Linked DNA regions of Sus scrofa. The protein of the gene in region 1 binds, or shares a complex with, the protein of each later gene. Links are inferred from orthologs where the notes say so. Each region holds a gene or a part of one and is shown on either strand. Other genes may lie near its edges.

Region 1 (2,924 bases):
ACACTTGATACAATTAAAGTTATTCTGAATGTGGAACTTTCAAGTGAATAGATTGTACGGGTAAGTTGATAGTAAAGACCAAAAGCAGGTATAGTTTAATGTATTTTAATAGCAAACTTACAGGAACAGCACAGAAGACAGACAACATTAAAAACATGTACTTGCATGTAGGACAACTCAGTTAGAAAAGTATAGTGAATGGATGGAATCTACTGTATGATAAAAATGCTACAAACACCATTTAGTTGCAGTCAATAAGAAATTTACTTGTTTTAAAAAAATCCAAATGCTGGCATTGTCCAGAAAAATTTAACAGGTTTATTTATAATTGTTATAAAGTTGAACTGCTGAAACTTGTTCACTGAAACATTTTGACTTGCATTAATGCTTTATGTCCCCGCATTTATATTAAAAATTCACACACAAATGAAAATGGAAAAACTGCCAATACCTGATTTCTGTCCCCTATTTTTCCACTTGCAATCATATACTTAGGTACCTTTTGACCCCATGGAAAAAAAATATCTAACGTTCAGAACTACCAATAACAGGAAGAAGAGAATTTTTTTTTTTTTTAAAGAATGAAATGTTTCCCATCATAGTGGATTCTTAAGCACGTTCTCCACGTATGCGGCGTGCTAGCTGGATGTCTTTTGGCATAATTGTTACACGTTTGGCATGGATAGCACACAGGTTGGTGTCTTCAAAAAGGCCAACCAGATAGGCCTCACTTGCCTCCTACAAAAGGAATAAAGAAAAACATATTAATGTTAATGTAAACAGTTAAGATACATCTTTATCAGTTAAAATGATCAAGTTTTTGAGCCCTTTAAAATCCTACTTCAGGAGATGTTGACTATTTTACCAAATGCTCACATTTTCTTTTAATTAAATAATTAATTTGGCTGCACCCATGGCATGTGTGAGTTCCTGGGCCAGAGATCAAATTTGAGCCACAGTTGCAGCAACGTCAGATCCTTACCCCACTATGCTGGGCTGGGAATAAAATCCAGGCCTCAGCAGCAACCTACACTGGTTCCTAAACAGCTAGTGGGAACTCCCAAATGGTTACATATTATAATTTGTGGGACAAGGCTGAAAGGCAGCTTATGAAAAGTGAAAAGCTCAAGCTTGTTAATCTTTACCAAATAATACAAAACTTATTTCGTTACTTAAAAAGTTTCATTTTTTCTAACATTATGTGTGATTTCTAGTAAAGCATATCTTGAGTTAAGTCAAGAAATCCAATTTTGGAGTTCCCATAGTGGCTTACAGGTTTTAGGAACCTGACTAATATCCATGGGGATGTGGGTTCAATCCCTGGCTTTAAAGGGATTAATGTTAAAGATACGTGATGCTGTGAGCTGTGATGCAGGTTGCAGACGTGGCTTAGATCCGGCGTTGCTGTGGTGTAGGCCAGCAGCTGTAGCTCCAATTTGACCCCTAGCCTGAGAATCTCTATATGCCATGTATGAGGTCCTAAAAATATATATATATATAGCTGACCACAGGTTTCCATCATAAGGTCCTTCTTCTCTACCTTTTCTTTAACACCTCAGTTTTCAGAGTACTACAGGGTCCCAGAACACTTGCGTCTTAATTTACATACATTAACCTATTTTGCTGCTGTGCCCCCTACTTTCCCCTACTAACTGTACCCCCCCCATGTACCCCAACATGTACTGGCATTTGTAACCCCCCAGAATTAATATTGACCCCTCTGGTTTTCCCCAAAACAGTATAAGATGTTTTTATAATTAACTTTTATTATACATTTTATAGTTATCTGAAAAGTTGAAGAATCCTTTAGTCCAACTTAAAACATCTGCTTACTCATTTTGAAATGAAGCTACTGTTTTGTTTTACCAGTCTAGTCATCAGTCCAACTGTTTTAGTGGATTAAGAATACTGAATGAAGACCTTATCTGGCCTCTCTACATGCAAGTTTTCTCTGTTGAAGACACATTTAAAATTATTTCCAGGAGTTCCCATTGTGGTACAGCAGAAATGAATCTGACTAGTATCCATGAAGATTGGGGTTCAATCCCTGACCTTGCTCAGTGGGTCGCTGTGAGCTGCAGTGTAGGTCACAGACACAGCTGAGATCCCAAGTTGCTATGCTGTGGCGTAGGCCAGCAGCTGTAACTCTGATTTAACCCCTAGCCTTGGATCCTCCATACGCCAGAAGGTGTGGCCTTAAAACAAAACAAAACAAACTTCAATTTGGAACCTTTAGGTAACTATAAAACAAAAAGAAACACAAAATACTTGAGCAATTCAAGCCCCTCAATACTAAATAACACACAAGATATACAAATGGGAAGAACCAGATTTACTTTTTACCAACTTTTTTCTGACTTTGCCAATAAAACTTGAGATCTGCTTTTAAAAGTACTAACAGCAACGATTAATTCAAATGGTCTACATTAGTCCACCTTATGAAAAAAACTGTAACCTTCACGTTTATGCCATTCATCTTTTTTTTTTCTTTCCTTTTTTGGAGGCTCATGGAATTCCTGGGCCAGGGATCAGATCCAAGCCACAGATGTAATCTATGCTGCAGCTGCAGCAATGCCAAATTCTTTAACCTAGAATGCTGGGCCAGGATCGAACCTGTGTCCTAGAGCTGCAGAGACACAGCCACACCATAGCAGGAACTGCACCTTTACCTTTTTAGCCTATCTCTCTTCTATAAAAATTTGTTTCACTCAAATTTTACTATCCTTACATGACTTTCTTCATCTTTTGTTATCAAGAGCCAAGTTTTATTTATCTACCTTTTAAGGCCGAGTTCAAGACTATTCCATGAAGGAGAAACCAAACACTTCTCTTGCCCCTAGTTCCCAGGTGCAGATAACTTTGAACCCTCCTAATTCCTTGGCACTCATAATTGGCATAGTACATCAGTCACTTTTAAAGCCCTT
Region 2 (3,654 bases), on another chromosome or scaffold:
GTTATAACATGGTAACATTTTTGTTATGTAAATTTGACCACAACTTAAAAAAAAAGGATAGGATTGAAAGGGGAAAAAATTAGACTATAAACATTCACAGAGCAGAAAAAGACTAGAGGGATCTACATCAACTCTTAATGACAACTCTGGTGGTGTTTCTGTAACTTCTTTTTTTAAACATTGAACTGGGATTAATTATGTACATAAAGAAGGAACCTGGGGAATTCCTGCACAGCACAGTGGGTTAAGGACCTGGCCTTGTCTCTGCAGCAGCTCAGGTCACTGGTGAGGCACAGGTTTGATCTCGGCCTGGTACAGTGGGTTAAGGATCTGGCGCAGCCACAGCTGTAGCATAAGTCACAGCTGCAGATTTGCTCCCTGGCCTAGGAACTTCCCTATGTCTCAGGTGCGGCCATTTAAAAAAAAAGAAGAAAGAACCGGAGCTTAGAGCGTAAGAATGCTTCTGGTGGGAGGCAGTCAGTCAACTGGCTGCTTTCTCCCAGCTCTGCAGCGAGGCCACACCAGGGCGAGCAGTCCTGAGTGTCTGGGCTATGGGAGTAGCCTCCCTCCGTCGGGGTGCTGGGACAGGTAAGAGAGCTCTGGGGGAGCTGGGGGCAGGCAGTCTCTCTTTGGCTCTGCAGTTGGCCTGGACACACACACACACACACACACACACACACACACGCACACACGCACGCGCGCGCGCGCGCGCCTGCCCTGAACCACTGGCAGCTCCTCCCTGTGGCTTCCCAAGCCCCGCTCAGGAGCCTCATGTGTCCCCCAGCTGCATCTGCTTAGCTCCTTCAGTGTTTCCTCCATGCTCCGAACAAAGCCTCCACCAACCTGGAGACCTCATCCTGTCCCCTCCACTGCTGTGGGAGGGCTGGGCCTCAGCTGGAAGGTCAGGCCAGGCCTCTCAGAGGAGGGGATATATAAGCCAAGCCCGGGAGGTCCCAGAAGGGCTGGCAGGGTCTGGGGCAGTGTCCACACAGCAAGAACATATTCCTATCATGGACTTATTTCTTCACGGAATATGATTTCTGATGTCCGTGGGGCATTTCCTGGGTCAGGATTTAACCAGGCTCCAACCCCCCTCCACACCCCCACTCTGGGCACTCCTTGTGCTGCTGGGACAGGTAGGACACGTACCGCTGGGTGTGGCAAACTGGATGAGGACGCTGTTGCAGCCGAGGGTGATGATGAAGGACTGCTTGCCCACACGGCTACACTCTGTCTCCCGGGACACTGAGCACTTGAACACACAGACGTCTTCATCTGCAGGAGCAGGAAGGAAGCTGTGAGCCGACAGGTCCTGGCCAGCCTGGTCAGGCTCCCCACTGGCTGCCTTTGTTCAAGTCCTGTCCCGCCAAACTCCCCGTCCCTCCTCACAACTTCCTAGATGCTTCCAGAGTGCCATACCCCGCAGAAGCACTGCCCCGTACCATGCCTGCCCAACCCATGCTGAGGACAAGGTGATGGCCAATCACATCTGTGGGGGGAGGTACACAGCCTGTCCAGTGGGAGAGGACAGCTGTCCGCAGGGCGACCAGGACTGGGGCGGGGAGGGCAGTTGCCCAGCACTGTGAGGTCCAGGGGACACCTCTGCCAGGATGACCCCTCACCAGCACCTCCTGGTACCAGACCCCATGCTGCTCAGTGGGCAGTGAGGTAGGAAGACACATGAGAAAAGGGCAAGTCTGGTGGGGACTGAGGGTTCACAGGAACCCAGCAGGGCACCCCAGGCCCAGCTGAAGGAGTCAGGCCTTCAGTCACTGGCCCTTTTGTGACACATGGGGGTATCATCAGTCTTCAGAGCTGAGCAGGGCTGGGTGGAGGGTGAGAAACAAATCCTGGTGGATGGAGTTCTCTGGTGCCATATAGGCTAAGGATCTGGCGTTGTCACTGCTGTGGTGCAAGTTCGATCCCTGGCCCAGGAACTTCCACATACTGCAGGTGCAGCCAAAAAAAAAAAAAAAAGAAAGAAAAAAGAAAAGAAAAAGAAACCCCAGTGGATTTCAAAAGTAATCTTTTTTTCCCCACAATTTTTACTTTTTTTCAAGGTTTTATTTTGTTTTGGTCTGGCCTAAAGCATGCGGAAATTCATGGGCCAAGGAATGAACATGTGCCATAGCAGTGATCCGAGCCACAGCAGCGACAGTGCCAGATCCTTAATCCACTGCACCACCAGGGAACTCCTTTCAAAAGTAATCTTTGAAATTTGAAAATAAAAGCAGAAAGGCAATGTCTTAGTATAGAAAGATGATTTCAAACTGCTGAAGGGACCAAGGGACAGCAGTCATGAGCGGCGGTCACATCAGACCAGAGGTATACACTCTGCACCTTTGTCAGTGGATGCCTCCCCCAGTTTTCCTGCATCTCCTCCTCACTCAGATTTTCCCTCTGGGACAGGAGACATTTGATTTCTCTTCCTCACTTTGCCCTCTCAGCACCTGGAGACCACTCACCCGAGGCCTGGATGGTCACCAGGGTTGGTCAGGCTGATGATCCAGAGAGAAGAAGTGGCCATGAGTGCACAGTATGTGCTTATATACGTGTGTGCACACATGTGTGAATGAGACAGTAGATGGTTGGGTGTGGCTCAAGAAAGGAATCTCCATTCTGCTTCCTCCAGCTGAGCCCTTTCCTTCTTGCATGTATTGTGTGTGGCCACTGAAGCTGGACAGCCTGTGTTCATGCCCCACCTGTGCTACTCAGTATCATGAGGGCAGGGCAGAGCCCTCAGTTTTCTCATCTGTCAAGCAGAACTAATGGTGGGACAGGCGAAGGGCCCACCACACACATATGGAGAGAAGCACTGCATCCCCGAGCCCGCCACCACTATTGTTACTGCATTCTCTCAACCAGCACAGGGCGCCCCACCTTGGCCAACATCACCAGGAGACAGACCAACCCAACACTGTGGCCTGGATGTCGGACAGTGGGATGGACACCCTGGTCCCATTAGAAGGGGACAACTGTACCAGATCAGGGGCAGTCCAAGACAGCCTCCCTGGTTGCCTCAGGAAAAACCTAAATTGCTGGAAACTATTCCAGAGTAAAGGAGACTAAAGAGCCTTGATGATCAAATACGAGGTGTGGTCCAGCTATAAAGGACAACTGGGGAAGTGTGTGGACCGCAGGAGCCATAATTTTAAATGATCTAGATGTGACAAGAGCATTATTCTGTAGAATGCCCTTATCATTAAAAGATACGTCTGGGGAGTTCCTGTCGTGGCGCAGTGGTTAACGAATCCGACTAGGAACCATGAGGTTGCGGGTTCGGTCCCTGCCCTTGCTCAGTGGGTTAACGATCCGGCGTTGCCTGAGCTGTGGTGTAGGTTGCAGACGCGGCTCGGATCCCGCGTTGCTGTGGCTCTGGCATAGGCCGGTGGCTACAGCTCCGATTCAACCCCTAGCCTGGGAATCTCCATATGCCGTGGGAGCGGCCCAAGAAATAGCAACAACAACAACAGACAAAAGACAAAAAGACAAAAAAAAAATAAAAAAATAAAAGATACGTCTGGAAGTAAATTCCTGTGATGTCTACAACTTGCATTTGACTGCCTCGTCAAGTAAGCAACAAAATACAGTTATAGAGAAAAGCAAGAGGACAAATATGGCAAAGTGTTTCCAATTGCCCCATAATAACCAAAA

What was found. The genes of interacting proteins can lie anywhere in the genome.
Region 2: the proteins of H3F3A (region 1) and CARM1 are in contact, whole or in part, in a crystal structure (PDB 5DWQ), measured with the Homo sapiens proteins. The link is inferred for Sus scrofa from reciprocal best matches to the Homo sapiens genes H3-3A and CARM1. Residues at the interface, in NP_001365972.1 of Homo sapiens: Gly14, Lys15, Ala16, Pro17, Arg18, Lys19, Gln20, Leu21; in NP_954592.1 of Homo sapiens: Gln148, Tyr149, Phe152, Tyr153, Gln158, Asn161, Met162, Asp165, Glu257, Pro258, Met259, Gly260, Tyr261, Glu266, Val340, Leu412, Thr413, His414, Trp415, Tyr416, Ser447, Lys470, Pro472, Phe474.

Annotation. Positions count from the first base shown.
Region 1 is NC_010452.4:13,945,653-13,948,576, reverse strand, and holds the end of H3F3A (histone H3.3), read right to left. Parts: intron 739-2,924; coding exon 610-738; 3' UTR 601-609; downstream 1-600. UniProt on the Homo sapiens protein: Variant histone H3 which replaces conventional H3 in a wide range of nucleosomes in active genes. Constitutes the predominant form of histone H3 in non-dividing cells and is incorporated into chromatin independently of DNA synthesis.
Region 2 is NC_010444.4:69,626,044-69,629,697, reverse strand, and holds part of CARM1 (histone-arginine methyltransferase CARM1), read right to left. Parts: intron 1,276-3,654; coding exon 1,150-1,275; intron 1-1,149. UniProt on the Homo sapiens protein: Methylates (mono- and asymmetric dimethylation) the guanidino nitrogens of arginyl residues in several proteins involved in DNA packaging, transcription regulation, pre-mRNA splicing, and mRNA stability.